Struthio camelus: one gene and its partners. The protein of the gene in region 1 interacts with the protein of each later gene in a biochemical or structural test. Links are inferred from orthologs where the notes say so. Each region holds a gene or a part of one and is shown in the gene's direction. Other genes may lie near its edges.

Region 1 (10,906 bases):
AAGAAATTTTTAGGAGGAGAAGAGAAAGGAGAATTTTTTAGTTAACAAAGGCTAGGCAACGTTAAAAAAATGGTCTTCATAGGGTACTCCCAAAAGTCCTACAAAAGCCCAGCTGTATTCCCTTTTCCAGCCACACCTGCGGCCCCGCTCAGCCTTAGGTGGGCCACAGGGCCATGCCCCCAGTGCTGCCCTTCCCTTGGCTCTGCATCTCCACAGCCACCTTCTCCATTCTGTGGCCCAGTCCGGTCCCAGCAGTGTGGATGTGCTCAGCAGCCACAAGAGTACCACCCGTTGGGGCATCCCATCCATCAAAAACCAATAGTGCTGCCACTGCCCAGGTCCCACCTCTGGCTGCCCCATCATGGATTCGCTTGTCTGCTCTTAGCGCTGCTCTTCAGGGCCTGTGGCACTTGGTCCCTCTCTCCACTGTTGGCTGGGGAGAGCAGAGGTGACAGCTTGGACAGGCGCTCGTCAGCGTGTTCCCCACCAAGGTCACCAGCAGCAGCACACAACCATGTTGCCAGCCCTGGACCAGGGTGTCCCTCTTGGGGGTTAGTGCCCAGCTCTCCTTCTCCCATCCCCCTGACCCCGGCCACTGCTGAGGCGATGCTGAGGGGTGTCCCCTGCTTCAGGAGCCGGGGCTGTCCATGGGGATCTTGGCAGGCCCCCAGACTCTGGTGCCTCACGGGGGAGCCAGCCACCATGCACGGGCTGCTGGCACACCGGGGCAGGGGAGGAGGAGGAGAGGGAGGAGGAGGAGAAGGAGGAGGAGGAGAAGGAGGATGATGAGGAGGAGGAGGGCAGGCCGCAGGGGGCACGGCGGGGCCGCCCCGCTGGCTTTGCCCACTAGAGGGCAAGAGAGTCCCACACAAGCGCGGTGGGGCGGCCTGCCCCTGCCAGGCCACGGGTGTCTCCTTCCCTCCTTCCCCAGCTGCGCCCTCAGCCCAGGGGAGGCACAGGGCTGGGAGGGCAGAGTGGGGTTACAGCCTTATGGCCCCTCCGAGAGCCTCCTTGGGGACAGCGTGGCAGAACCTGGCCTCTGCCCTGCCGCACGCTGTCAACAGGGAGGTGTCTGGGTTCGTGGAGACGTCTTCTGGAGGAGGGTGAGAGAGAGCTGGCCTGTGACCTTCACGTGGGCCCTGGGACAAGCCTTTGACCCGCAGGAGGTTAGCTCAGCCTTGGCTGCCAGCGGGCTAGCAGGGACCTTGCGTGCTGGCAGCTGTGTGCTGGTGGCCGCTCGAAGCAGATGCTTCAGCTCACTGTAGACTTGCTTATTGCTTTTGCATCTGGATAGACTGAACTCCTGCGTGAATCGGCTTTGAATCTCATGTAGGCCACCATTTCAACATCCTGTGGTGGAACAAAGTACTGGTTGCGCTTCAGTTCACTTATTTTGGAAATCTTATGTGTGGTCATGTTACCACTGGTGGAGATGCAATCACTTGCCTTCAGAAAGCTAGAGAGGCCTTTGGCCATTCCAGAAAGTGGACCTGGACGCATCAGGATAGAGGAGTACCAGGCTACTGTGCCTGCCAGCATGCTGACCAAGTCATAAGCGGGGACATGTGTCCAGCTTATGGAGAATTGCAGAAGCTCTAGGAGAGGCACTTTCCGTCTTTGCCCCAAGGCAGGTGATGACAGGGTAATCAAGGCAGGTTGCTGACTGCATGTCTAATCTAGCACTGATATGTAGGGTCCAGCTGATGGTCTGGATATGTGCCTTGGTTGGTATGTGAGTGCCATCACATCTTTCAGATAGTGAACTATCTGAAGAGGAAGTGTAGCTGGCTAAGAAAGAACTTCAAGGATATCCTAGAGGCTAGTTTGAGCGCAGCCTACTGACAAACTCTTCTGAGCTTGCAGTCACAAAGGGGCAGCAAAAATGCGTGAGTGTGAAGAAAGCAGAAATCTGTTTGAATAGAAACAGCACGCTCTTGGGCAGGAAACGCACGAAAGGCAAAGGCTGGGGCGGTAGCAGCAGAGCGGTTCTCAGACTGAGTAATCTTGTGAACAGTGTCACAAAAACTGCTTACCGTGGATAGACCTGTGCAGTCTTCTGCATACACAGCAGCTTTGACTTCCTCCCCTTTTCTTTTTCCAGTTAATGGCACTTTCACTCTTGAGCAGGACGATCTTGTGAAAGGGACAACTAATTCAGTACAAAAGCAGCAGATCTTAGCAGCAGGTAGACCTTATCTAGCTTCAAGCATCACCAGCAGATACACGCATGCCAAAAAACTATATCAACGTCTCTATCAATGCATTTTATCTGACTTATAATGGCATTATTACTTTTGTACTTAAATTAAGATATTTTAAGCATATAGCCTGATACTCCTTGGACTCCCTGAACTCCCAAGGACAGTCACAAAGATCATATTCTGCTATGGCTAGTTTATGTAGCTTCACTGATTCCTATAAGTGGCAAAATATCATCATGTCATAAGAAATCCATGTCAGATACACTGCTGCAGCTGTATAGCACATGGTAACACTGGTGCTATGTTTCCCTGAAAAATTGCATGTAAACTGCCTTATGTTTTACAATCCTCCTGTCTGAAAAGTTAGGCAGGAGGTTGTAGGTCATATTAAATATACTGTCTTCTGGGATCCTTGCAGGCAATCTTTTACGTCATAAATACTTTTAAACTTTTTTCCTACAGTTTCTGAAATGAAAAGGCAAATGTTATTCCTCTAGATCCATTTTTCTTAAATCTGTAGGCCTTTCTTATGTTAATCCAATCAACTTGAATCACATGGCTAGTAGTTTAATCAAGCCATTTTACAAGCGTGTTATTTGTTTCCATGTAATCTAATGTTTCATAATCATGAGTTTCAGTAACTTTTCATTGCTGAGATGACATGACTTTTCTTTGGAGGATTAATTTGTGCAGTTATATTAATAGTTTAATGCGCTCACCGTCCATTCTGGGGAAATGCTGAATCACATGTATAGCATAGCAAGTGGGATTCATCCAATCATATCTGGACCTGTGTTATGTAGAAGTCTATATCTAATATAGGCTCTCTTCATACACAGGGGGAAGAAATGAGCATCTCTAGAGCATGAGTCATGTCATCCTAAAGTAGATGCCTAGAATAGGTCAGATGATTCGCTCCCTAAAATTGCACCTATTTCTCTGCATTAAAGAACAAGTAGTTTACTTGTCTAGACTGCAGCAGCATGCAGTGAGGCGAGATTAATTATACTCTATAATATTCAGGTTTGTATTATGCTTCAAATACCCTGAAAATTCCTATCTGCAAAGAAATCTGAAAATGACATTGCTTTCTATATTATGTTCTATTTATAAAAAGCAGCTTTTGAAAATTTGCTGACTCAACACATTTTTAGTGAAGTTGGCAAATGCCATGTTTGTCAATGACAGGTTGTAGATCCTCTCTTGTTAATGACATGAATCTTCTTCAATTCTCCATCTGCAATGTTAGGAAAAATATGTTGTAGAGAGATATATTGTAAGTCCAGAGTAGAATTCTGTACTTTTGACGAAATTATGCCGTCTAGGGGGAAGAAAAAACACATTTCTTGTGGCAGGGTGATTTTTTTAAATCGCTGCTCAAAATTTGGTATGTGAAAAGTTGTTGTAAAATTGAACTGGTGGGTAGAGTACAGGTTAAGCAGTTAAAAAAAAAAAAAAATCACGATACCTAAAACTTGCCAGAGGTGTCACATTAGTGTAGTACATGCCAGAAGAATATGTGCCAGGAACTACTTAAGAAATGCAAGATTCTTCTGACCAGCTCTGCTAGCAGGAGTTAAAATCCTGCATAAAGCTGATGAGTAAGCTCTTGATGACTCACTGTGGCAGATACAGTCTTTAATTCCAGGAGGGTATAAGGGAAGTGGGTGTGAATCTCTAGTTGAGGAGAGTTTAGGGGTAGAGGTGTTTCTGCCTCAGTGTCTTGGGGATAAAAGTGTAGGCTTTTAATATAGCCTGAGATATTGGTAAAGCCAAACTTCTGCACGGGGTAAGTTTGACTTTACACATCACACACAGATTTTATGTGAAGCAGGGTTAGAACACCACCTACTCACAGATGGGTATAATTTTGGGGATGCCCTGCATAATTCATGTGTGGCTTTGATACTTATGAGTAATTCAGACATCAAAGCCTCAGCTTAGATAACACTTTTATAACACCAAACTTCCTATAGCCAATAATATGTGGGCTTTCATTTAAATTCCTTTAAAAAATTATACAAATAGTTCCTCCTTTACCTTCAGATATTTCGCATAAGTAGTGCTGGTCTGAAGTACAAGGTAGAAAATACTGAAGCCTGGACTAGACAAAAAATTAAAATCCTGTCTCTTACTCTTCACTGGGACTAGAAATGTAAACTTTAAAGGACTGGAAGCCTCTTTCCCATTATTTCTAGACTGAGTAGCACACAAATATCAGGACTTCCAGTCCTAATCCTTGTGCTTTGCCAGTGGCGTGAGCCTTAATTTCTCAGCAGTCCTATTTCTTAACAAGCAATTTTATGTTCTCTTCCAAGTCACCCATTATGCATAGAAAAAACCCTTCCCATTAATAGCCATAAAGCTCCTTTATTGTTCTCCTTCAAATCTCCTTAAAACTTCCTTCTGACACAAAACACTTGTCATTGGCTAGGCCTGTTGCTTTTTATTCTCAGCACTGCTTTTCCCTTATCCTTCCCCCATGTGTCTGTAGTATACACCTGTTGTCTTTCATCATGGGTTAAGATCATAAGCTCTTTGGGCATAGACCATCGCTCTTATTACATGTGTCTGCAGTATCCAACACAATGGGACTGTGATCCCTGAATGGGGCCTCTGGGTACTGCCGTGATCAAGTTGATAAAGAATAATGATTTTTGACATGGGGAGTTCTGCAGTTTTTCCCAAGTCATTCTGCAGTTGTTCACACTGATATAACCGTTGTGTGTGTGAGCAGTGTCCTTAAACCTGATATATATGGTAATGCTGTGGAACATTCCCGGAGAGCGCTGGAGCAGTCCTTGCTAGCGCTGATTTTCCTGCGTTTTGAGGAGGGGGAGGGGGATTGGTCTGCTCTTGCACATCAAAATGCATGGACTGATGGGCAGCAACTGTTTCTTTCTGTGGGTTTGAGCAGAACTAGAACAATGGGACCCTGCTCTGCAGCTCCTGAACCCCATCCTGCGGACGCTAGTAATGACCAGTGGAGTCACATAAAGGGAGACGGCTGGAGCTGTAGGATGGGTTCATGCACCACTGGCATGGAGTATGCCCTGACAGTTTCCTTAACATCCTTGTGGATGCGGGACACAGCCTTTCCGTGCTGCAGTCCCCCCTGTTAGCCATGGGAGCGGGAAGTCTTGCTTCCTCTCGAGCGTGGAGTCCCAGCAGCAAGCGGGAAGAGGCACAAAGGGTGGGTTGTGCCAGCCAGAGCTGGGCTGCTGGTTTTTGGGGTGGGGAAGGTGAGGAGAGCCGCTCCCTCTTCTGCATGCCCATCGAGCAGTAAGACATGCAGAAAGTCTATTATTTTTAATTAACCCCCTTGCAAAATTCTCCTTTCCCTGAGCTCTGTTTCCAGCCTCCACCAGTGACCTTCCGGGGCCCTGCCCTCTTGGAGAGGTGCATCATCATTCACACCATGCAATCTCTCCCCCCGGCTCCCATGATATTATGTTTCCTCTCCTTTTCTCCCTTTCTTCCCCCTCCACAGTCCTGCCTTCAGGTTTCGCATTTAATTCCACAGGGCTGCCGGAGTCATCCTCTCCTTCAGTGTAAGCCTCCGTATTGTGCCCAGTCCTTGAGCTCTGCTCCAGCAATCCTGGAAAATCAGGAGACCCTTCTGTCCCTTTGCTAATTAATGCAGCTGTATTGGAGTGCGGCGAAACAACAATAACATCCATCATCGGCATCATAAGAAGAAACATATATCCTCCCGCCCCCCCCCCGCCTTCACCAGCTCTCTCCCGGCCGTTTGAAATAACTTCTTTTTCGGGAGGAGAAGACTTTTCCAGCAACGGCTTGGGGTCGATCTCCTGCCACAGTGCCCCCCCGCCCCCGGGTTGCCACCTCCTAGCCGCCTCTGCCTGCCCTGCGCCGGCCTCTCAACAACTTGCGCCGGGTCCCGGCCCAGGGAGAAGCGGTCCGGTCCCTGAAGCGAGCGCCCCGGCGGCGCAGCGGGGCGGCCCCGGCCCCCCCGGCCCCCCCGGCCCCCCCGGCCCCCAGCCGGCGCACGGCCCGGCCCGGCCCCCGGCAGCCGCGCAGCAGCAGCGGAGCCGCGAGCGCTCCGCGCTCCCGAGGGGGGCGGCGAGTCCCCGCGGGGTGGGAAGGACGAGCACTGCGGCGTGGCCAGCCGCGCCGGCAGCCCCCCCCCCCGCGCCGCCCTCCCACCCCTTCCCCGGGGACCCCGAGCTTCAGTTTAAAACCCGCTGCGGGGCAGCGGCAGCCCGGTTACCTGAAGGGCGGCTCGGCCCGGCAGGCAGGCGGCCGCCGCTGCCCACAGCCAGGGCACCACCGCGCCGGGCTCCGGGGTCGCCGCCGACCTCGCAGCCCCCGGCGGGCGGGCAGGGCCCGGGGCGGGCTCGCGGTGCGCTCGGCTCCGCGCCGCTCCGCGCCGCCGTCCCGGCCAATGTCACGGGCGGCGGGCACTGCGGGCATCTCCCGCAGCGCCCTGCCTCCCGCAGCGGGGTGACCGGCTGCATTTCGCCCGCGCTCCTCTCACCCGCGAAAGTTTCGCCCGTTTCTTTACTGATTTGCCCGGGCGCGCGGCCGTGCCGCAGAGCAGCGGGAGAGCGGCTGCGAGCAGTGCCTAGCGCTGGAGCCGCGGCTGTATTGCAGCAGGTAGGGCTGCGCGCTAGGACCTCGGAGGAGCCTTCCAGCAGCAATCAGGACTACCTTAAACCCAGCCCAATGCCTCTTCCTGCGCCACTCTGCGTGCTGGATGGAGATCCACAGTCAAGAGCTGCAGCTCAGTGCTGGAGTACAACATTTCACAGGGAGCCCTGCAGAAGCAACACCTGTTTCAAGGCAGCCAAGAAAGACACAAGCACTTGTACGTTTCTGCTTTGCTTGTGGATCGTCAATAATCCTAAACCCATGGACATCTGCTGAGCCTCCTGAGCGTTCTGGATAATAGATTTGGACGTCAAAAGTTTTTTTTTTCTCCTTTTTCTTTTTTCTTTTTGGATTTATCTCAGCCAACAACGTGAGATTCCCCCCTCCCCCCTTTGCGGGATTCATGCTGATGTATGCAGTCTGTTATAGAGTAAAAACAGCGCATGCCTTTCTGGAGTCAGAATCCATAAATCCTGACGTAGCCTGTGCATCTTAAAAAAAATCCCTATAACGCCTAGGTATTTAAGTTGCTATGGTCATTCTTATCTTAAACCAAATGGAGAAACTACGGATTTTTTTCTTTATTACAGTTGGATGGGCTGAAGACCTTATTGCTTGCTAAGAGCTGGGGATATATGCATATATATAGATATACACATCTATATGTTTATAAATATGTCAGTGTGTGAGTATAAAGTGGTGGTTTCTTAGACTAACTGGTTTGACCTTGAACCTGTACCAGTCAAAACAGAATATTACTTTTATTTATGCATTTAATGGATTGAAGAAAGAACATTTTCTCTGTAACTGCGATAGGGAGGGGAGAGGAGTGGAATATACCTAATCTTATATCTCCTGGGTTTGGCACCATCATTATTGTTTATTCTTATTCTCTAAAAGCAGAATCTTCTGATGGCTCCCTTAGGTGAAGTTGGGAACTATTTCGGTGTGCAGGATGCAGTACCCTTTGGGAATGTGCCCGTTTTGCCGGTGGATAGTCCGGTTTTGTTAAGTGACCACCTGGGTCAGTCTGAGGCAGGTGGGCTACCCAGGGGGCCTGCAGTCACGGACTTGGACCATTTAAAGGGGATCCTCAGGCGGAGGCAGCTATACTGCAGGACTGGATTTCATTTAGAAATCTTCCCCAATGGTACTATCCAGGGAACCAGGCAAGACCACAGCAGATTTGGTAGGTATTATCATTAACCCTTCAGTGGTCATGTGATGAAATAATGTGGTAGAAGTGCGGGCGGGGGGAGCTGGGGGGGTGCGAAGCGGGCGGGGAGGGGGTTTTGTGGTGATGTCTGATCAGCGAAGGGAAAAAATGAATGTGTCCGGAATTGCAGATATTCACAAGTGGCACAGCCGCAGCGAAGCAGGAGCCCGCACCAAAGTCACGGTGGTTTTGGTGGCGATATTTACGTAGCCCCAAGTTCTGCTTAAGTGTAGATACGTATGGGGAGGTGGCGGCGGCGGTGGTGGTGGTGGTGGTGGTGGTGGAATTTTTGCTCCGGACGTTTCTACTGAATGATTTGATTTCACGGGGTTTAAAGGGTTTTTAATCATTAACCACTACAATTTAAAATTCACTGAGTTTCCTGAAGGGAGTGGCTGTCGTCCTGTACGCAAATTAACGCAGGCTTTTCTTTCGTTTTCTCTCCCCATTACCTGCCCTAGTAACTGCCTGGCTTGCCAATTGAACGTGTTCTGATTCTCAGCGAGGGATTCGGCGGCAGCGGCTGCCGCTCCCTGCCGGGGCCGCCTCGGAGGCTCGGCTGCCGGCGCGAAGCGGGAGCCGCAGCCCGGCAGCGAGAGCAGCGCCGGCCGCTTTGCGGAGGCAGCAGGCTGCGGCGCGCAGGTAGCCGGCCCCGGGCTGGGGCTGCGCTCGCAACCCGCCGAGAGGCGGGCGAGGGAAAATGTGGCTTTCCGGAGCTGTGCGGTGTGTAAAGCTGGGAGCTAATTTTTAAAGAGCATTCCGTGGATTTCATTTGCAGAGGACGCTGTTTGTGACTCAGCACTGAGGGCTGCAGGCTGGAGGGCTGACGGCTTCACGCACTTTTCGGAGGCGGTGCGTGCACAGCCGCGCACGCACACAAGTCAAGCGGGCCTGGAGCTTCTTTGCTGCCAGGGAGGTTGTTAAAGGCCCGGCAGACTGAATACACGAAAGTGGCTCAGGCGGCCTGGATGGTCGGATTCTTTGTTTTTTAAGGAGGGGTGAGGAAAATACGCCAGGTTAGCTAGCCACGCTCTCAGCTGTTGCAAGGAGTTAACTTGTGAGTGAGCCAACCTGACAGCACTTAAATTCGGTCGTAAAAACAAAGTCCTGTGGTGTTTTTTTTTTCTTTTTTGTGCTTCATGTTCTAATGCCAGATGTTGAACCATATCTAAACTGTATTTTATTGCTGTTTAGATAATACCGGTGTTGTAGGAGATGGTCTCCAAAGGGCGCAGAGGGGAAGGGGCGTCGGGGGCAAGGGGAGGGAGAGGGGGTTCAAACTCGCACGGTCGCAGGTTTGTCACCCCCTCGGCCCCTTCTCCCTGGCACTTCGGCGCGGTTTCCCGCACGGCCGCGCTGCCCGGCCGCCCGCCCGCCGTCCTTGCCTTGGGCTGGGCGCGCAACGGCCGCGCTCCCGAGCACGAGCCAAGGGGGAGCAAAGTGCCCAAAGGGGCTTGCGGGAGCGCAGGGCAGTGCCACAGCGAGGGCAGCGCCGGGATTTTGCACCTAGGCGTTTTTTGCTGGACACACGGAGACGCTAGGAATAGCTGCTCAAATATACGCGCGCGCCGGTTCTCCCCTTCTCCCTGCGGGTGCGCACCCGCGCGCACACACACGCCTTGACGGCAGCAGGCGGAGGGCGAGGTGGCCGCGGGTGCGCGCCCGGGGGACGCGCGTGGCGAAGCGCTGTGCCGGGGCCGCGGCGCGGGGCGGCGGCAGCAGGTGTAGCGCGGCCGCGCCGCTGCGCGCACCGCCCGCGCCCGGCAGCCGGGGCTCCGGGCCCGGCACCCCGCGGCCCCGCCGCCCCCGGGAGGAGGGCCGCCAGCTGCTCCCTGTCCAACGCCGCCGTGACCACATTATTCGAGGCGTCTATTTTTAAAAATGGCTTTCCAGCCGCAGTTGTAGGAAGCTAACAATTCCGAGGGGCAGCTATTCTCGCCCTTGGAGCGCCTTGGCTTTAAATAGATGGTTTTCTTTTCTTTTCTTTTCTTTTTTTTTTTTTTTCTCTCGGTTCGGTCGCCCTCTTCCCCCCAGAAAGCACCGTTGCACTAACTCTTCTCCCATGTAGTGCTCCGGTGATGCCCCCCGCGCGGCCGTGCAGGCTGGGCAAGGCGATGCGACGGGATGCTTTGCGGTTCCTGGCTTAGAGAGGGGGGATCTGAGTACTTCTGTGCCGGTGCCGTGACAGTGCTCTTGTGTTTATCGGCAGGTGGCCGAATGGCAGATGCTGTTTGGGTTTTGGTGATGGTAAAGTCTTCTGCTTACCCTGGGAAGGTGTGCAGGCAGCTCTCGGGAGCTGGCTGTGGGGAGAGAGAGCTAACTTGCTCGCCTCTGAGCGTGTGGGGGAAACCTGTGTATGTGTGTGTGGATACACGAGTAAGAAGGAAGTTTTTCCTGCAGGAATAAGGAGGACAAAGAGAACCCCGGGGGCTGCGCGTAAACTCTTCTCATGGCTCTGCCCCGTGGGAATCTCCCCTTCCCCCCCCCCCCCCCCACACGCACACACACCTCTGGAGAGACATCAGATAAGAGTAATTCTTTTGTGATGCTATGTTGGATGTGTGCCTATTGCATACAATAAACCGAGCCATATTGTGTGTCTATACTCGCCCGGTTCTGGAAGCCCGGGCATTTCGCAATGCCTGCAGTAAGATGTCCATCTCTGGAATAAAAGCTCCTCGGGAGAGCAGACTTAGGTCCCCCCTGTAATGCGATCTTATGTGATCAAAGCCTTATCTCTCCTAGGTGACAAAAGATTTTTTTTTTTTGATGCAGTCTCCTTTAGTCTAGGGCATTTGCTAGACAGTGGAGTCATTGTAAATTCAGGAACTCTGTAACAGCGGAGAGGCGTGCCTCTGTGCGTCAGCACAAGTACTGC
Region 2 (10,366 bases), on another chromosome or scaffold:
CCTGCCTCCTATCCAATTTCTTATGTAACTACTGCTTTCCACACCACAAATGTTTTTCCCTTAATGATGAATGAAATGATTTATTCCACAATTACTATGCAGAGGCCTTGCCGGGCTGGCGGAGGCCAAACCTCCCTGACCACAGATTGCATTCTTCATTATGTTTGATCTGGACATCCAGCATGCTGCGTGAGGGGAATCACATTTCTGCAAAAGCACAAGATCCCCGAGGTAGTTATCACTTTATTATGACAGTGCTGGATTTGGTCCCACAATCAAAGCTGCAGACTGTGAGCTGGCATGTGGTAAGTCAGTTCACCTTCCTGGGCTTTGGAGTGACCATGTGTAACAGGGGGATAATAACCCTTAACTGTCTCAGAGACCAGCTAGAAGAGTTATCTCTGTTTATAAAGTATTCTGAGACCCTCAATTGCTTTTCCACTGCAAAGCTGCTGGACATGAACATAGGATTTGGAATGTGCATGCGTACTACTTTTTATTTCAAAGGCCAGAAAAAGCTATAGAGTCACTCAATTCTGTAACACATCCTGTATATTTAATGCACCAATATGCGTCTGATCCACCCACCCTATCTCTGTAGTGGAGCAGAGCTTGTACTGTGCTTTTTGGAAAAATAAAACTACCACAGGAATTGCAAGGAGATAGACATACAAATCAGCCTCTAGATGTGGCAGGGCTGCAGTCAGACGCGGGACTGTGTCAGCACTGCCTTGTGGGAGCACACAGTCAGTAGTAAAGCAGCGTTAAGAATGACTGATTTGTCCCTGTATTCAAGCCTTCCCCTAAAGTAAGACAAGCGTGCCACTGAGAAAGAGCTTGACTGAAAACTGTAGTAATAATGTCTTAATATTGACTAAAATTCTGCAGTCCTCAACAGATAGAAGACCTCAGCTGAATTATCTTTAACTCACATTTATTTTAGTTGATGGCTCTTTATTTTGACAGATCTTCTGCTGCTCACGACACATTCCTTTCCGGTACTGCAGAGTGGGGCAGATCCCCCGAAACGCCCCTGGAGAGAGGGATACGGATGCGAAAGCCAGGCCCTATGGCTGGGCTGGGAGTCACGAGCCACACTGGACAGCATGAAGCGCGGTTCTCGAAATGGCTAGAGACCAGAGAGGATTTCATCCCGCGCATGCCGCTGCTGGGGCCAACAGCAGTCATTAGTGAGGCCCATGGGCTGGAGCTTGCCTCTGGGACCATGCCACACAGATGTGATAAGATCCCAGTTCTCATGGTACATGGGTGTGTTCCTGGAGTAAATCCTAGCTTCAGGACAGTTACTTAAACATGACTGTGGGTCTCCCAGAAAACTGCCTTGGCAGCGTCTGGTTTATTCTCACCGGCATCAGTCTTCGCAGACCGGTGGGTGACTAAGCAGCGTGTGGCTTCATTTCAAATGCCCCCAAAGTTAGAGGTCTTGCTATGCCTGCAAATGAAGTGCTCCAGCCAAAGTTTATCTGAAATGTCATATATAGTGACTGTTTGAATGCACCGGGCAGGCAGAAGTAATATCTCTGTCTTCTTCTCTGCAGGCTCCAGATGCTTGTCTTGGTTTACTCGGAGGACTAGGATAACCAGATCTGCAGGACAGGTGAACTGCATCTCCGAGACGTGCTCGCAGGAGGGCGCAGAGCCAGCCGGTGTCCCATGCTGCACGCACGGTGGCTGTACTGAATCAAGATTATTTCAAGATCTGATTTTAAATCTTTGCTTCTCACACCCTCCACAGGCTCTCTCCAGTTTTTTTCTATCTACTTCCGCAAACCGTCTAGTTTTCTCTCCAGGCTGCCAAATTATTTCACCTCTGCCAGAACCTCCCCATATGCAGCTCTTGCCGAAGAGACTTTGTGCGTCTCTCTCCAGCTCACTTGTTCTTTCTCGTTCCTCTTCAAATCAAATTACTTCTCCCTTAACAGAGCCTTCTCTTTCTCACTTCCATGCTGCTCTGTGGGGAAGTAAACTCTACAGGATGAAGTTGTGCTGTAACCACCTTTCAAAGTGATATGCTTCTCATTTGCAAGCACAGAGAAAGCCTTCACATGGTGGCTTAACCTTTCACAGTGTTTACCCTGACAATCATTTGGGTCCTTAATCTTAGCAACAATGACTATCAGCTTGAAATTCAATAAACCTGCTTGGAATCGCAGCCCTTTGGACTGGCTAGTTAATAAAAACTGGTTTAGCCATTCCAATGTGCCTTATTGATATAAATAGATAGTGACATGATCTCTGGAAAATTTACTCCCGTGTCCACCTCCACTCCTGCTATTTAACCCTTTGATTCCAAGGGCTGGACGCATGCAAATGGACAAACTCTGAAGTAATATTTCAGCCCAGTCTCATATGTGCTTCTAACGAGGAACAGGCTGGTAAAGCCCTGGGGAGCTGTGGTGCTCAATCTGGCTCACGCGTCTCAGTCCTGATAAGAAATATTTGGTGATATTTATTCTGTGTACCTAACCTGATATGATTCAGAGACTCGTGTGACCACGTGTCCATGTAATTCTACTGCATCTTGTTCAGCATATTCAAACTTGCACTGAAGTTTCACTTGCTTCACTGCCCTGTTCCATCTCAGGATAGCTTCAGGAGTTGTTTTCTGCCCGCTAAGGAAGCAAGTTGTACGAGGACCCATTGATGGGGATGTATGGCGTGGTGGGATGGTGTACCAGCCCCCAGCATCATTTTAAAGATCTGTATGGAGGCCCACGATGTGTCAGTTCACAGCAGCCACCATGCTCTGCTCTCTGCTTGGTTAAATACAACAACTCAGCTATGCAGGTAGGCAGGAACTAATGGTTTAATCAATTTAAAAAAAAAAAAGAGCAAAGACATTATTTTGCCTCATTCTTTTCAGTGGCCAGATTTATGCTTAAATATATTTCTGCATAGAATAGTTCTAATGTGCTGGCCCACCACTAAAAATGCCGTTTCTAGCTTTCCTGCCTGAAGCCTGAAGGGCATCAAGCTTTGGTGGAGAGGCCTGGCAGGAAGGCAGAGAGCGAGCCGTGGAGAAAGGGAAGGGAAGGGAAGGAGAAGGAAAGGGGCGTTGGTCCAGGGCCACCTGCCTTGGTCCCTGAGCTGAATTACCTGTCGGTGGGAGCAGGGAAGCAGGGAGAGCCATGGCTTACGGGAAAGGGGCAACAGGAGCAGGAGCAGGGTGTGGGGGCGCAGCCGCTCCGGGTGGCCAAGCACCTCGGCCAGGACCAGGGCCGGGAACGTAGCAGCGACCAGCTTTGACACTGAGAGCGCTGCCACCACATCGTATTTCAGCCCCTGCCTCGGAAAAAAGGGGCAGCCGCTCGCTGTCCCAGAGCTGCCGAAAGCGGGTTGATTTTCATCACGGACAGCTCTGGATATTAAGGGGCTAAACAAATACAAAGCCCTGGGAAGGGCAAGTTTATAAAGGGTAAGAGGAGAACAAACACTGGGGTGGTGCGTGTAGATCGGCGTAAGGGGGACGCGCTCTTAGGTCGAGGTGAAAGGAATACTCTGCGGCTAGGATGCATCTTACAGCATAGTAGTCCTAAAATAAATGCTATTGGGTTGAGCAGGGTTTACTAGTCTACATACATTGAGTTTTTTATAGTAAGAATGTGGCTGAGACATAGTCCAGAAACACAGTTTTCACTGCACAGTACTGCATCTCCGGCTCTGTTACAGTGGCCACCGCAGTGATGAACTAGCATCTAAAAATCTGCGCTTAATCGGGTCGGTGCTCCACAGCCTCATGTGAATGGGCTGCACCAGAGGTTAATAAACGGGAAACCTAAAAATATCCCACCCTAGGGAAAACTGCCAACCTTGAAGTCCTTTACACAGGGCTATCTCAATACCTCTTTGATTTCCTGTCGCAAAGGGCTTCCAAATGTTGTAAGCTTTCAGTTTCTCTCCAAAAGAAAACCAGTTTGAAACCATTAAAGGGCTAGGTTTACCTGATTTGAGACACAGACCTTTAAGTCTCTCAGCAGCCTCTGGTAGCAGCTTTAAAACTCGCTTGCTTTGGATGGGACGTTTCTATCCTGTCGCCCTGGCCCGAGAGGGACACAGACACGTTTGGCTTCACCTGACTCCGCATTTTCACTTACTTTCTTGCTTCAGCTGCGGATTGAGGAAAGCTCCTGACTTTCCTTTGCTGCTCTTGTGAAAAACGGAGATAATCACAGGAAAGACGGTGAGGATTCACCAATTAAATGCTGTGCTGCTCTTACCCTGCTGTCTTTACATGAGATCAGAATTTGGCCCTACCTTTCCAAAAAGTCATCATCAAAATAATAACGGCAACAACTCCACATGCAACGCTACTTTCTTCTCACTATAATTACGCTGTTGTTGTTGTTGTTGTTGTTGTTGTTTTCACCAATTTTCTGGCACCTCTAACACAGCAGTTGTGAGAGAAAACATCTTTCAGTTTGACACACTTCCCAGGCGAAATAACCGCGTTTTATTTATATGCCTGCTTTTCCCTCCATTGTTTTCGTTTAAACTGCCTGTGACACTTGCGAGAGTCTCTGCTGACATGCAGGATTTCCTCGCTGCAGCCCCGGTTCAATGCTTCCCCACACAATGCCGTAGTATTGAGATGTCAGACTCTCCGCGCCTGATAAAGGTGTCAAGACGGACGCCGAGCTCAGCGACAACAGCACCGACGCAGAGCCCCGCCACGGAGGTCGCCAGCAATTCCCGCCTTCTGCCGCGCCGCCGAAAGCGAAACCTGCCCCAGCAGCTGGGATTTGGCTTGCAGAGAGCAAACCTCAAGGCCGCCTGAGCTTTTTACACGTTTCTCGTTCCTGAACCATCTCACCCTAGCTGTTAGCAAGTTGGGGTTTTGGGGGACCCTGCGCAGAGCGCTTTCAGCTCTGATAATAGTTGCACCTCTCAGATTTCAGTGAATGAATTGCTGCGTCAAGAGGATTAAAGCAGAGCTGTGACCTCTGTATGAAGCAGCTCAGATCGCTTCTCAATGATAAATGTTGCGTGTCACTTCGGCGAGTCAGCCACGTCTGGGGGTGACTGAGACGACTGCGTTACCCAAAATCGTAACAAGTGACATTTAATCAGATTTTATTAAAAGTAGCTGATCCAGCTAGCAGCAGTGAACGCGCAGAATCCAAGCAGGGATACGACACCGGCGCTGGGTGTTCGGCGGGCCAGGGCAAAGGAGTCCCCGCCGTAGCACAGCAAACCTGCCAGGGGAGCGGGCGCATGGCGCTTTCAGCATGCGAGCCGTTAGGCTGAGTGCAGGCACCGCTCGCAGGCGGCTTCTGCCATGCCACGTCCTGCCTAGACTGCCCACGACCCAACGGAGTCGGCTTAAGCCAATTCTGCCTCTTTTCAGAAAACTCGCCCTTGCTGTTGTAAGGCCAGGGAAAAAAGAAAAAGGAAAAAAAAGAAAAACGAAGTCTGTGCGCGTTTCATGGCACACTATGGCAGGGCATGGGGCCACTTTGCGCGGCCGCAGTCTTAGGGTTCGTACTTAGCACTGCCGGACTTCGGACCGACTTTAACCCCGCCGACCCCGTCTTTCCCGGAGCGAGGCGAACCCCCTTCTTCTCCGTGCGATTGCAGTCGGGCCGGAGGTGCGCGGCGCTCGCACCGCGCCGACCGCATCCCTCCTCCCCCGCCCGCGGGGCGCGCAGCGGGGCGCGGCCCCCCGCGGCGGCGGCGGCGGCGGCGGCGGCGGCGGCGGCGGCGGCGGCGGCGGCGGCGGCGGCGGCGGCGGCGGCGCGGAGCGGGGCGGGGCCGCCCGCGGCTCGGCCCCGGCGGGCGGGGACAGCGCGGCCGCCCCGCTCCGCGCCCGCGCCCGCCAACCAGACGCAGAAGCGCCGCGGCGGCGGGCGGGCGGCGGCGGTGGCGGCTGCTCGGGCGCGCTCCCTCCATGAGCGGTGCGCGGCGAGCCGCGGGGCTTGCGCAGGTAAGCGGCTCGCCGGCGCCGCTTATGTGCGCGCGTCCCCCCTTTATTTTTTTTCTCCTCGCTTTCCCCCCTCCCCCCGCCCTTTTTCCCTGTTTCGGTACGCGGGGGGGTGCTGAGCGGCTCTCTCCTTCTCTCGGCAGCGCGGCGGCGGAGCGGAGCGCTGAGCGGCGGCAGCATGCGGCCGGAGGATGTCTGAGCCGGGCGGCGGCGGTGCGGCGGCTCCCCCGCGCCCGCGGTGCCGCGCCGGAGGCATGCTGGCGGCGTGGGGCTCCCTGTGGTGCCTGTGCTTGGCGGCGGCGGCCGGCGGGCTCCCGGCGGCCCGGCGGCCCGGCTCCCCCGCGGAGGAGAGGAGCGGCGGGCAGCCCGCAGGTGAGGCTGCCCGGCGGGGGGACGCGGCGCGGCGCGGTGCGGCGCGCCGGGCGGGAGGCGAGCGTGGGAACGGGCCGCGGCGCGGCGAGCTCGGGGGCCCCGGAGGGCGAGTTAGAAAGGCGGCAGCGCGCTGCGCTTGCCGGCTTTGGGAAAGTGCTGGCCGGCGCTGCCTGCTCCTCCGCCAGCGGCACTTTCGGCTTGCCCAAGCCAGCAGGACGCCCGGGAAGGAAAAATCGCTTTTCAGACAACTTTCCCTGCCTTCGAAGTTCCTTCTCTCAGTAACTGCCGCCGCGGTGCCGATCCGGGGTTTGGCCGTAGCCGCGCTCGCAGCTGAGCGGGGAAAAGCAGAGAGCCCTCCGTGCGCGCACGTCGGAGAGCAGGGGGAGGCATCTGTGCCCGCGTTGTAGGAGCGGGACGGGAGGTGCCACCGCTCCGCTGGCGCCGGCGCACGGCTTAAGAGTTGGGATTGTGCTGAGGAGGGGAAAACATCTGCGGGAATGCAGTAAATATCTCCCCTCGAGTGGAAAGCGTTGCAGTCGCAAGTGAAAAAAAAAAAAAAGTTAACGCGTTGGGCAAAAGCTGTTTAAAAACGGTACAGCGTGTTTGAAATGTCGTGTCTCTCTGATACGCCTCAGCTGCTACCTGAGTCCCTGTTTATTTTTCAAAGCTCTTTAATGGAAGGTAGCCCCCTCCTAGTCCCCTGTCTTTAAGATTGCGTGTACCCAACAGAAAGTTTCCATTGTTCACGAAAGGGTTTGAAGCATGTTTGCCAAAAAAGTGACAGGGGAATAAATGGGCTTCGTGGAGGCTGGGGGGGGGCATTACTTTCATACCCCTTTTGGTTAAAGCTATAAATCACACAGGGGGTTGGTTTTGTTTTCAAGAAAGTACTAATAAAACACCAGATTCTTAGTGTAACTCGTTTGGCTCATTTTTCACAGCCAAAAGAATTGATTTATGGGGCAACATCTCAGCTGCTTTGTCAGAGCAGATGAGATTGGTGTTTAGGAGGAAGCAAGAGCAGTCTGTGCTAGTAACGGTATTAGGAATCGACCAAAATTAAGGTCAGAACTTTTCCCCGTGTTAGCCTGAAATATGTATTTGCGCTGTCACTTAGAGCAAAATTCTTTGGGGAGCCCCAAGGAAAGTGTGGAGCAACCTCAGTGACTTCCTCGGGGGTCCTCTGGATTTACACTCAGGCAGGCTGAGCTCACAGCCGGGGACTGAGATCGTGGGCAGAAAAACAGTAAAAACCTTTCTGTTCTTTAAGACACCCACATTTGCACGTTAAGATCTTAGGGTGGTGTTTGAAATTTAGCAAGTGACGTGCCCTTATAGTCGTCCGGCGTGTTGGTGGAAGGGAGGCAGCTGAAGAAAATGTCCCTACGGTGATGTCTTTGAACTGAGCGATGCTCCAGGATTGCCAGGCGCTCTGGTGGAAATCCTGCGCGGGCAGGTTCTGGTTTCGTCCCCCCGGCTTTTCCGAGTAATGGCACAGTTGTGGTCCTGCTGTTGTTGCTGCTGTCAAAACTCTCCCGCGCTTCCCGGGGAGCAGGATTAGGCCCTCCGCGGAGGGCTCCCGTGGGCACGGACGCGGAGCAGCGTTTCCGAGCGTTTCTCCGGCAGTACGAGTCGTGCAGGGAGATGTGACGGGAGAGGAGGGGGTGGCGCGCGCGGGGCGGGCAGGCAGCGTGCTCCGGAGACGGGACCGAGCTTTGTAACGCCAGGCTACTTTTTGACTGGCCACGTGCACGAGGGAAGCGTGAAATATCGCTAGCGATACCCGGGCTGCTTGTCGTGATATCTAATTGACTCGTTAGGCAAGGGCAGAGGACCTGTTGCCAGCGCGTAGGGCGCTCTTATCTGGGAGAGAAAAGGACCTGCAAAAGCAACTGTAAAGAATATAAACCTTCAGAGCCAAGTAAAAACACATTTTACTTTTCAAGCTTTGAATTGAATGGTAAAAAGCAAATTCTTTCTCCTAGTCAAATGGGCCATGGGGTATTGGCTCATTACTGAGGGTTGTTGTTCACTAGGTTTTGCATTTACAGTGTAAGGCCTTATTTTCCATAAAGGGGCTTGGAAGGATTTTTCCCTAGTGATCTAATTCTCCACACGGGGCTGTGAAGGCTGTAACAGCTACTGCTTTGTGCCTATACTCAGCTACATAAAACACACATTGAAGGGAGGCATTCTCGAGGTATGTGTATGTTTGCTAATATGAATACTAGCTATTAGTGGAGGTGGAGGGGGTGCAGGTTTTAACATCTCCGCAGGGAGGTGTTCGGCTGTTGGCAGGAAGGAGGCAGATGGCGGGGCTGTTGCTGAATAGAAGCTAAACTAAAAACACCAGGGGCCTCATCTGGGCTGAGTTTCTCTTCTCTCCCTTTCTCGGGGCTGCTGCAGGAAGAACAATGTCATTTTTTTCTTTTTTTTTATGAATGAAAGTAGAGAGGCAAGGCAGGATTGAATGTGTATGTCATTCAGCGGCTATGACAGAGATGATTAGGGAGGTCAGTGAACTCCTTTGCAGCCTTGAGCATGCGGTCACTCTATTCAGCAGCCACAGAATAGACATCAATATAAAAAAGCCCTTCCAATTTGCATTAGTATTCAGATAAAGATATTACTTGGTACGATTTGTGAATGTCAAGTAATGCTGGCTGTTTTCTTAGAGAGCAGACCAACAGAAACAGCAGCATTTCTCTTCTAAAGACTTCTGATAACAGGCTGTCTTCCGTATCTGGTTTGTGCGTGTGCATACGTGACACATGGGAAAAGTGAATTTTTGGACGTCTTAGGATTTTTACTACACTAGTTAGCTGCTAAAGCTGTGTATATGCATTGACAGAGTTGCGTAGAAAGCTGTTAATGTTTGAGAAAGTTTGTGCGGCAAGGGAGGAGCTATCCGAGCGTGTCAAGAGCAGTAACTGAGGTTTACTTGCGTAGTACTGTAGTCGAGTTGTCACCCAGAGTTACCATACTGGTCCCAGCAAGCAAGCCAAAGAAATAGAAAAGGTACCATTTCACGTTTTAACTTAATTTAAATATTGGGCCAGACATTCTTGTGACTTTTCTGCTTGGAAACAGCGGTGATGTGCCGATTGAAAAGTTTTTCTTTATGCAGCTTATAGCAACTTTGGTTTGTTTGGTTGGTTTTTTTTAGCCTTTTCAGCTTCTGACGAGGATATTGGGTAGGATGTAGGGTATTATGGGCCGGGTCGTTTTACTTTGTGTATCTAAACATTCCAAAGTTCACCCTGAAATTAGAGTTGTATTTGAGTGAGTGCTGCGTGGCGCTGACCATTCCTGGAGTAGGGTTCTGGGTTTATACGTTCTCGTAAGGAAAGCATTTCAAAGCCCTTTAAAAAAGAGTCCCTTATAAAGTATTGTTGCTTTCTACTTTATATCTCAGACCTGAAATCCTTTAGATTCTGTGGGCGGCTATGAGTGAGATAGTTTTGCTGAAGAAAGTTGTTTCATTTATTGTCTTAACGGTAGCAGATTTCAAGAAGTTAATTAAGTCTTTAATGTTGAGACTAGCATATTTTACAGAGCAATAAAATTAGAGGGCATGAGTAGGGGATGATGAAATGTGGCTTTTTGGTTTTTAGTCTATTCTTCAGCTAGCAAATAGTGGCCTGGAAAATCTGTTTCAGTGCGGAGACCAGTTCATTAATATATTTGATGCTAGATGTGTAACATCACCACCTTTTACATGTACTGACAAGGGTCACTCCAATTAAATCTCGGGGGGGAGTTCTTTTAATTAAGACTTTATTAACAACCATTGAGTGGGGAATTTCATTAAAGTAAATCTTAAAATTGCGTAGTGAAGAGTTGATCTGCTAATTAATTGAACAACGCAATTAAATTAAGCCACTCTGACCAGCGCGTTAAGTTTTGTAGCTCCCTCTAGCACACCTTCACCGTTCTTTGGGGAAGCGTACCTGTTCAGGAGCCTTCCTGAACGTGGTTTTTGCAGTTAGATGAACGCTAAAGAAGTCTCGACTGCGGCATCCCTGAATCGGGACCATTTCCGTCCTGCTGCCTGGG
Region 3 (10,326 bases), on another chromosome or scaffold:
ATAAAATACCATGTGATGTCTTCACGAGTGCTGGGCGATCGCGGGGCAGCCGACCTCGCCGCCCTGGCTGGCGGGGCTGGACTCGAGGCACACCTCGGGAGCTCTTATCAGCCGTGCTGGAAGGCGAGATACCACGCTAACGTCAAGGGAAGTGCAACAGAAAGCCGATCTTGGGCCCTTCGGAGGCGAGGCAGGATGTCGGTGCAGCCAGCGCCTCCCTGCCAAGACTTCTGCTCAGCCGGCTCGGCGCCTTCGCGCAGGAGCGGCAGGAGGACGGTGGCTTGCCTGCGGGCACCGGAGGTGGCAGGGAAAGCTCTGGGGGGACAAGGTGCTGAGGCTCTTCCTGCTGGCCGGCAGGACCCTGGGACAGCCCGCCCGGGCGAGCCAGGCAGAGCTGCTGGCGCAAGGAAGGGAGCGAGCCTGGCCTTGGACACCAGGTGCCTACATGGTCACCTGTGACAAGTCAGCTTGAGAGCTTAAAAGTCAGCTGAGGCTTTAAAAAAATGGAGAAGACAACAGCCATTGAATAAAAGAGGTTAAGAGTGGGAGAGGGAGCAAGAGCCTGGCTTTGCATGCCAGCACCCCTCTGCAAACCAGCCAGGCTGGTCCCCATGGATTGTCTCAGCAGCGTCTCATTCCCCATTTCAGCCCAGGTCTCCTCCAGCCACCACTCAGAAAGACACCAGAGCCTGCAGTGTCCGTGGTCCCAACAGCACTGCCGGGGACCAAACCAAGGTTTTCCAGCAAAGACTCATCTGATCAGGCCCCCCCGGCTGGACGGGGTGCACCCTGGCCACATAGGTCCTGGCTTTGGTTTGAAAGGCTCTGAGAAAGCCATGGAGAACCAGGGAATGCCTGCAGGAGAGCATCCTTCACCTCCCTCCTCTCTGCACTGGCGTCTCTGTTTGGCGTCCATGGAGGCGCTCGCTCGTTCAGGACGGGTCCTGCTCAGTCTCCTGAACGCTTCGTCTGCAGGCAAACCCTGCTGCGACCGCAGGTGCCCTGAGCACCCCTGGCCCTGGCGCTGCTCCTCTCCCCTGCAAGTGAAATGGTGCTCTGCTTGTTTGATTTCCCTTCATCACCATCAGAAAAGCAGCCAAGTAGCAGCCGATGGGGGACATTATGGTGCTTTTGAGATGCAACCAAGGAAGGAAAAAGCAGGTTTGGGTTGATGCTAATAGCAGAGAAAACCTCAGAGCAAGGAGAGTGCTTGGGAGCCACCGGGCTGTATTGCAAGCCCAAGGACCGGAGCCGGTGCTCTGCCCATGACAGGGCTTTGTGCTCTGCCCATGCCAGGGCTTTGCTCCAGGACAGCAGCACAGCTGGGCTGGGCTCCCGGGCAGGCCTGGTGGGCCCCATCCCGCCGTGGGGCAGAAAGGGGCCACATGCGGCCAAGGGCTGCGGGTGTGTGATCCAGCCTGGCTCGGCAGTGCCCGAAGTCCAGCTGAGCACAGGCAGCACCTCTAGCTACAGCCAGAGCCGCTAATAACACTTTATGGAGTTGGAGCAGAGAGGCGAGAGAGGGGGCTTCCTGTAAAAGGCTCTACTTAGCTTCTAAATCATGCCCGGGAGCTAACATTTTGCTGATTTTCACATGTCCCATTTCCCTGGGAAAGTTGGAGTTTTGCAAGCTGCCGGGCGAGCTCTCCGCAGTGTCCCTGCTGGCCTCTGGCAGGGTGGCACGGGGCTGGCCAGGCAGCCACGGGTGCTGAGAGGGGCTGGACTTCTCTCTGAGACGCTTCACACAAGCCCTGCCTGAGAACAGACTCCTCTCGGCATGGAGAACGGCTGCTGTGAGCTCCTCCAGCCTTGGGACAGCGGGGTGAAGTCACCACTAGTGACTCAGATGTTCTAGCACATGGGAAGTGATTTGCCAAGGTCAGACAACGCACCTGGACGCCTCTGCAGAACATCAGCAACGTCCTGAAAAGCCTGGCCAGGAGGCGGAGGGGGAAGCAGAGAAGAGACGAGTCGTGTCTTAGAGATGGGGAAAGAGGGCTGCACGGGAACTGGCCTGTCCGTCCGAGCCACGCCGCAGCCGGCAGAGGCTCCGATCAGGAGTCCTGAGGCTGGTGTCCTGCCCGAGCCGCGCTCCCTCCTGCAGCGCCCCGTTACCCGCGTGCGCAGCCACGCTCAGCGCACGTGCGCCCGGTAACGCGCTGCGGACGCGGCGCTCGCACGCACGGAGCCGATGCGCGTGCACCCTGCACGCCCCGCAGAGAGCAGGGCCACGCGCACGTGTGCCCCGGCTGCCTCCCACGTGCCCTGCCGCGTGCGCTGCCTTTCGCTTGTGGGGTGGCGCAGGCTCGAGCCCGCGAGCCAGCCGGCCGCCTGCGAGCAGCCAGCGCTGCACTCTGATGTGCCCCGGCCTTTGCAGGGCCAGCCCGAGCTGACAAAGTCTTTGTCAGCCAGATCTTTCAGGGAAAGCTCTTTGTTCTTCAGCGTTTGCTCCTGGCCTCCCCCTCCACAAAGCTCAACTAGATGCATCTGCTTTTGTTTTCTAAATGCAGAATTAGGGGCTGAAAAGAGCCCCTTTGTAGTGGGGAGGAGGGGAGAGCTGCAGATCTTTGACTGGGCAAGTTGAGGTCAGGGGGGAACGGCTCCTTTGTGCTGCCGGCTGGGCTCGCGCTGCTACCCTGCCCCTTCCTAGACCCGGGCCCTCATGCAAAAGTTTTGGAGACTTGGAGAAACTGCTGTGCAAGCAGTATTGGCAACATCCCACCACCAGTGCCGCTGCCGCTGCCCGGGCGGTCGGCTGCCGCCGTGGCTGGGCTGCTCGGCGATGCACATGGAGCAGGCCACCGCGAGCGAGACAGCCAGGTGCCGGGGACGGGCCGCTCGGAGCAAGGCCGGGGCGAGCAGGCTGCGGGACCAGCACCCTTGCCAGCCGCCAGCAACCCCTCCGGCTTCCTCGTCCTGGCCCCGGACAGATCTCGTCCGTGTGAGCGCACTGTCCCGGCCCCGAGGCCAACGGGATCGTTAGACCAGCACAAAGCTCTGCACGAGCGCTTGGCGCTTGGATGTCCGCGTCAGAGCCAGCCCGCGAGCACATCCGGGCTGCGCGCGGGCTCAGCCGAGCTTGGGCCGGGGCTCGGCCTGCGCGCGGTGAGCTGTTCAGCTGTCAGCGTAGCGCAGATGTGCTTTCAGTTTATCTTGGTCCTGTTCTTGATTAAGTGTAGTTGCAGTGAAACAAGCCCGGCTCCATGTGAAAATCGCATCTGCGTCGCCTCGAAAGCGTGTCACCGACGCGCAGGTGTGTGCGGGAGAGCGTGGCCCTGGGGACCGGGGCGGGCTGGATGCCCACGGAGCCGGCCCCGGGGAGCGCTCCTCTCCCCGGCCATCCTGGGGGTCTGTATGCCACCAGATGGTGACAGCTCGCGGTCACTCCTGCTCCGGAGCCCCAGTGCTGAGGCCGGGGGGCAGCGAACCCTTGAGCCTCCCAGGAGCAGGGGATTCTTGTCCTCATTTTCCGCCATCTCCGAGCACCGTAAAGGCCCACAAAGTTCAGTCTTCCGCCCCCGCGATGCAGCCAGGCAGAAAGCCATCCCCAAGGAGAGCAGCAGCAGAGGTGCGAGCCCTTCCCCTTTCCTCACAAGGACATGTTATGGCTGCAAATCCATCAGCTCCATTTCAGGGCCGACGTTATTAAGCCTGGGACAAAAGCTTAGCAGGAGGCATGGCTGCCCTGGGGGGGGGCAGGAGCCGCCCGGAGCTCTCTCAGGTCCCCGTGCAGCAAACCTGGCCCCAGCCTCGGTCCCTATAGCTAAGCATGAAGCAGGTTGGTTCCTGGCTGTCCGGGGGATGAAGAGAGCAGGGCTGGGGCTGGGGGGGGTCTCACTCCTCGGGGCAGGTGGTCCCTCCTGCAGAACGGAGCTGAGCCTGCTTCACCCGCCTGGAAATAGGAAGGTGCTCCAGCTCGCCGGGCTGGCCCTCTCCAGACAATGAGATCTGCTTCCTCCGTGCTTCCGCCTGCCCTCCTTGCCAGGTAGCCGCACCGTTCTTCGATCACCTCCTGGGAAGAGCTCGCCTGTCCGGCGAAAGAGAAAAAGCAGAGAGAGAGGAACATGCTGCCAGCCAGCACACCTACCGCCCCGCGGGCTGCAGCGAGAGGGAACCCACGCACGCAGAGACGCCCAGGCTGCCCCGCAGGCAGGCGCCCGGGGAGCCCGCCTGGGGCAAGCTGCGCATCACGGGGGCACTGGGGAACAGCTCTTCTTGCCCCATGCCACCGGCTCTCTTAGACACTCTTCCCATGCTCAACATGCCGGGGCAAGAGCATCCCGGTAGGCATGTTACCTTCCCCTCCCTCTCCCCTGTCCACACATCTGTCATCCCAGAAAAAAAATATTCAGTAGGTCTTGGCACAGCCATCTGAGCAGTTGCCTGAACCAGCAAGAGGCTGCTCCTGAAGACAGATGCCCAGCATTTGGTTCAAATATAGCTATGGTGATTGACAGGGCTAATTCAGTCTGTCCTCTTCCCTGTTATAACTTAATCACTTACACATTGCCTCACGCAGGTCTTTCACTACCAGCCAGGAGACGTCTTCATCCTGACCTACCCTGACTTTGAATGTGAGTCGGGTTTGCTCCTCTATCTGTGCTTCCTGCACGGAGGCCAAACCTTGTCACAGTCCGCATTACCCTGCGCGAGCCTGGCTTTGGGGGAGCTCGCCCGACCCGCAGAGATTGGGCCTGGGCCTGGGCCTGGGGAGGGTACAGCAGCTACAGCATATGGGAGAAAGGCTGGAGGCCTGACCAGCCGACACATGTATTGCCTGAGCACGCAGGGATCTTTCGGGGTGCTTTCCAAGTCTTCGTGCTCCGGACCTCAGTGGAGAGCTGCCCAGCTGGGCACAGCAGGGGAGGGGCAGGCTTTCCAGCAGCAGGAGTTCCTGGACGGCTCCCAGGAATGATTTGAGTCTGGCAACCCTTTGGAAAACTGCTGGCAGAAAGTGGGTGCCCCAGGCCTGGCTTCGCAGAAGGGCCAGGCTGGGGGCTCTGGGCTCCCCAGCGCGCTGCCGCCCCTGCGTGCCAGCGCGCCGCTGTCTCGGCGCCTGGTCGGCGGAGGCCCTGCCAGGAGGCCGGCGCCGCGGGACGAGGGCTCTGCCCCTGCTCCCGGCTCTGCCTCCCCCGGACGGCGGGGCTCCCGGCTCGCCGCTCTCCCGGCGCGCAGCAGCCATGAGCGAGAGAGGGGCCGAGCGCAGAAGGAAGCATCCCGCTGCGGAAGGGCCGAGCACCTCGTATGCGCAACCTGGACGGTTTTGGGGGGGGGGGGGGAACAGCCTTCGCAACCCAGCGGCGGCCCCGAGGCCCCGGGCAGGGGCCCGGCGGGGGGCGGCCGCCGGGCGGGCCGGAGCGCAGCCCGGGGGCGTCGAGGGGAGGCGGGGAGCGAGGGGGTCGGCGGCGACTACAAGCCCCAGCAGGCCGCTGAGGAGGAGGAGGAGGAGGAGGAGGAGGGCTGGGGAGGACGGCGGAGGGGAGCGCGGAGGAGGAGCCGGGGAGGAGGCGGCGGGGCGGTGCGGGAGCGGCTCAGTCCGGCGGCGGCGGGGACGCGGCGGCAGCGGCAGCGGCAGCGGCGCCCGTCGGGTCGGGTCGGGGCGGCGGCGGCGGGAGCGCCTGGGGCCGGCGCCGCCATGGGGCGGCCGCAGTGAGCGCGGCGCCGGCGGGGCTGCGCCCTCGCCCCGGCCGGGCACCCGCCATTGTTCGGTAGCGGCGGGCAGCGCGCCGCCGCCGCCCCGCGGGGCTCCGGTGAGTACCGCCGCCTGCGCCGCCCTCCCGCCGCTCGACGGCGGCCCCGGCTCGCGGGCATCGGGGCTTCGCGGGCACCGGGGGGGCTCCGGTTCGCGGGCATCGGGGCTCCTCAGGCACCGGAGGGCTCCGATTTCCAGGCATCGGGGCTCCTCGGGCGCCGGGGGGGTCCGATTTCCAGGCATCGGGGCTCCTCGGGCGCCGGGGGGGCTCCGGTTCGCGGGCATCGGGGCTCCTCAGGCACCGGAGGGCTCCGATTTCCAGGCATCGGGGCTCCTCGGGCACCGGGGGGGTCCGATTTCCAGGCATCGGGGCTCCTCGGGCACCGGGGGGGTCCGATTTCCAGGCATCGGGGCTTCGGAGGCACCGGGGAGCTCCGGTTCGCGGGCATCGGGGCTCCGCAGCGCACCGGAGGGCTCCGATTTCCAGGCATCGGGGCTCCTCGGGCACCGGGGGGGCTCCGATTTCCAGGCATCGGGGCTCCTCGGGCACCGGGGGGGCTCCGATTTCCAGGCATCGGGGCTCCTCGGGCACCGGGGGGGCTCCGATTTCCAGGCATCGGGGCTCCTCGGGCACCGGGGGAGCTCCGATTTCCAGGCATCGGGGCTCCTCGGGCACCGGAGGGCTCCGATTTCCAGGCATCGGGGCTTCGCAGGCACCGGGGGGAGCTCCGGTTCGCGGGCATCGGGGCTCCGCAGCGCAGCGGAGGGCTCCGATTTCCAGGCATCGGGGCTTCGCAGGCACCGGCGGCTCCGGTCCGTCGGGCTCCGCGGCCGGCGCTCCGCGCAGCGCGGCGGGGCGGCACGTTGGAAACGCGCCGGCCCGGGGCCCGTCGGGGGCCGCGGCCCGGGAGCCCCCCGCGGCGCCGGCGCTCCGGCAGCGCGGCCGGGCCCGAGGCCACCGCCCGGCGCGGGGCTGGCGCGGACCTGGCTCTGCCGTTCGGTGGCTTGTTTGCAAAGTTGCTGCCTAGCCGTTGTGTGCGAAGAGAAGTTCGCAAACGGGAGCCTCAAGGCTCCCAGAAGAAGATGAGTAAGGAGCCGGCACTTGCTGGGTTTTGTTTTGTTTAAGCCTCCTGATGTTGGGGCATTCCGGTGGTAACTGGGGATTGAGATGCTGGAAACAACATATCCTTAAATTGTATATTTCCTTTGTGTTTGTGAGGTGCCCATGGGGAGATGAGGAGATTCTGAGATTGTCTTTTATCAAAACTCTTTGCCAGGATCTCTGAGAGTCGTCCTTGTTCATACATGGCGAACGCTCAGAGAGTACAGCGTGCTGGCTGATGGCGTGTGCGATATTTGTCTTATCTGCTGGGATGATGTGCGTAACTAGCCGGGACTGTATTGGGTTTCAGATGGCATTTTTGGTTGTGGTATTTGTAATTTTTGCTGTTTTACCGAGTTGAGTGCAAGATCCAATCAGAGGCAGCTTGACTTATGTAACTAGCCGGCCCAGCTGAAAACACGAGTTGCGTATCCATTTGTAATGCGTTCAGGTTACACAGAGAAGTACTGGAGTCGTGGTGCGCTTCTCCTTCTCTGCCTAGATTGTTGAATAACTACCCAGCGTCTGAAGCGCTACGGCTGACTGGTACACAGTTCCTTCCGGTGAATGTTTAAACACCGAAGTGTGGTTCACCGAACTGCTTGTGTTAATAAAGCACAGAGGCTTAGAAGCTGTTCTTCTGCCCAGGTCCCGAAGCGAGTGAAATTGGAATTTGCTTTCAGACTTGAGCAGGCGGAGGCAGCGGTGCTGTGCCTGGGACTCGCTCGGCGGTGAGGGGCCGCGCGCGAGCGCTTGTGCAGAGGAGGCGGGGAGCCGTGGGGGCGCGGGCAGCGGCAATGCAGCGACCCCGCCGAGCCCTGCCGATGCTGCGGGGCCGGGAGCACGGACCCTGCATACCTCTCTGGCTAGCAGCCATTTTCCCCACACATGAGCACTTCCTTAATCTCTGCGGTGGCTGGCATGCACTATTGCCTTTTCCTTGTGTTGTTCAGGGAGGATTAAAATAAATCAGGATGGTCCCTGCCCTGACGGGGTGAAGGCAGGAGCAGTGCTCTTCCCTGCGTTGCAAAAGCAGCCTGCACGCGCATGGGTCGGTACCGGGCTTTGCTGGGTGCAAAGCGCCTGCCATGGGGAGCGCTGGCTGCTCCAGCCGTGCTGGGAAGGAGCCCAAGTTGCTTTCAGGTGCAAACTGGAGCTCCTTATTTATTTATGTGCCTAAAAATGTGAACTGCACTAGGAGCTGTTTTGGCTCCAGCCTCAGCAGGTTTTACCCTGATGCTCTGGCTCTGCAAGCCCTGGCTGCTAGAAGGGGCCGCTCGATGGAGAGTGAATTGCGATGCTCATCCAGCCCTGGCAATCCCACTTTCTCCTCAGCTTCCCAGGCCTTGCAGACCTTCTGCTTCTGGGGATGAAGGCAAATGCAAACAATAGGGGAAACATTTGCTGGAGAAATGTGCATCTCTCCTCTCCCAGCAGCTTTCCTTGGAGGATCTGAACGTAGCAAACCCCCATCCAGCTCCCTCTGCAGATGGTTAACTGGCCTTTGCCTCTTCCAGAGGATGGCAGACTGTGGCTGCATCCCACTGCCCCTGTCTGGGACATCCCGCACTGGTCACCAGCCGGGGCACTCAGCGTTCAGTAGCCCAGCTGAGGCTTTTGGGTACTAAGAGATGTTCTGCAGATCTGAAAATCAAGTCCTTGGAGAGGGATCCCTGGATTTGAGGTTGCTTCTGAACCTACCTTCCTGCCCCGTCTGCCAGACTCCCTGGTCACTCTGCAGGGTGCACACAGATAGCGTGCAGGGACCTCTCTCCAGGGATATTTCTGGTAGCTGTAAGGCCTTGCAACAGGCTCTAACTCATACGGCATGAAAGGGTTAACACTGTATGTATGCGGCACAGTTGGATGTTTATTTTTCCAAGCATGTGTCTGCTTTAAGCATTATAATTTTTCCCTATAGTTACATTTGCAGTTGTATTTGCTTTTTATTTCGGCAAATACTTGGTTCCTGACCTGAGCCATAGGCTGGGGCAGGGAGGTGTGGGCAAGGGGAAGGCTGTTCTCCCTCGTCCTGCCCAAGACTTTTGTCTTTGGCGTGCCCTTCTTTTGCAAGGGCACTTGGAGGGCTGCTTGCGTTGAGCCTCTGAGAAAAATTCAGCGTCTCTTCATGTACGTTTTGAAGCTGGAGCGCGTGTATGCCTGGCAGGTGCAAGGTCTTGGGGAGCAGCTCTGCTCTGAGCCTGACGTGGTGCCGTGGTCCCTGCTCCTCGTTTGCTCAGGCCGGTCCCAACCTCCAGCAACGCGGGCTCCTGAAACCTTGCTGACCTGGGAGCCGAGTTGAAACTTCTCTCTGTTGAATCTGGATTGCCCTGTTGGTTTTTATCGGCAGCTGGTTGGTGGCCCCGAGGCTCCCTGACGATCGGGCTGCCTCCGCGTACGCCCTGACGTGGGGACTGCTTGCGCAGACCGGTCCTGCTCGGCCGTGAGACGAAGCCTAAGAGGGCAGCAGGGCAGCGGGTAGCGCCGGCTGCTCCTGGGAGACCGACACTGGGGGCTCTCCTGCAGGACGTGGGACACAGCACCCGTCCGGGACCACGGGGACCCGTCCTGAACCATGCTCAGCTCCCGGGCGTCCCGGCCGAGCAGCCCTGGTCCGGCACTGGCGTCTGCGTTTGGCCCCTTTGGTGCATTCGCGGAGCATGAGCCAGGCGGCTGCAGGGGCTTCCCCGCTACACTCAGCCCGGAGGCATGGGCCTCCTCCCAGGAGCGGAGGAGCCCTTCCAGCGCCGCCTCCGCGGACAGCTCAGCCCTCATAACTCACAGGCACGGGACAGAGCGGAGATAAGAGTCCAGCCTCCGCGTCCTCGCCGGGGCCGGACTGAGAGGCTGCTCTGGGGGCGGCGAGGGAGAGAGGTTGCGAGAGGTGCGCTTGTCGTGGATGCACAGGCGTGCAAGGGCAGTCTGATAGCATCTTCGCTGGTGTGCGAGCGTGCAGCGAGCGTGTGCACCTGTGTACGGGAGGACGCGTGCAGGTGGGAGAGGGCGTATGGATGCGCACATGGGTGTTCCTGTCCGTGTTCCTGAATAGCTCCGTGGGTGTAATTGGGCCACTTGTAATTGCAGTCTCAGCAGACAGGTCTCTAAGGGGCAGTTAGCCGTCGTTCCTCCCTTAGCGCTTCCATTTTTAGTTGCTTAAATCCACCCCTGAGCAGTAAATTGCAGTGTGCCCGTGCCACGCGGGAGCGGGGAAGGTGCGTCCGAGGCCCGTGCCCCGGACAGGGCTGCAGACCCACCCTGCCGGAGCTGCGCTCCTTCAGAGCAAACGATTTCCTGCCCGCGTTCATAGAAAAGCTGTATAAACAGGGGGCAGGGTGGTGTCTTTGTTTGCACAGGTAGGAGCACGCTGCCCCCATCCTCCCCACGCTGCTGAGGGACGGGGCACGGCACCTGGCACGCTCCCGGTCCCCCTGGGAGGGCCGCGCTGCCCCTTCCCACCAGCGTAACCTCCTCTCCGAACAGCTCCTTTTCCCAGGCTGAGCCTTTCGGGGTGAGCGGCGGGGTCCGTGATGTG

What was found.
Region 2: the proteins of FGF9 (region 1) and FGFR3 form a complex in vitro, tested with the Homo sapiens proteins (3 studies listed by BioGRID and IntAct, with this or other methods). The link is inferred for Struthio camelus from reciprocal best matches to the Homo sapiens genes FGF9 and FGFR3.
Region 3: the proteins of FGF9 (region 1) and FGFR1 interact in a biophysical measurement, tested with the Homo sapiens proteins (2 studies listed by BioGRID and IntAct, with this or other methods). The link is inferred for Struthio camelus from reciprocal best matches to the Homo sapiens genes FGF9 and FGFR1.

What each region holds. Positions count from the first base shown.
Region 1 is NC_090942.1:203,234,787-203,245,692, reverse strand, and holds the start of FGF9 (fibroblast growth factor 9), read left to right. Parts: upstream 1-6,709; 5' UTR 6,710-7,724; coding exon 7,725-8,001; intron 8,002-10,906.
Region 2 is NC_090945.1:78,284,498-78,294,863, reverse strand, and holds the start of FGFR3 (fibroblast growth factor receptor 3), read left to right. Parts: upstream 1-5,843; 5' UTR 5,844-5,941; intron 5,942-6,081; 5' UTR 6,082-6,129; coding exon 6,130-6,310; intron 6,311-9,165; exon of another isoform or gene 9,166-9,328; intron 9,329-10,366.
Region 3 is NC_090968.1:7,229,129-7,239,454, reverse strand, and holds the start of FGFR1 (fibroblast growth factor receptor 1), read left to right. Parts: upstream 1-5,165; 5' UTR 5,166-5,180; coding exon 5,181-5,242; intron 5,243-10,326. UniProt on the Homo sapiens protein: Tyrosine-protein kinase that acts as a cell-surface receptor for fibroblast growth factors and plays an essential role in the regulation of embryonic development, cell proliferation, differentiation and migration.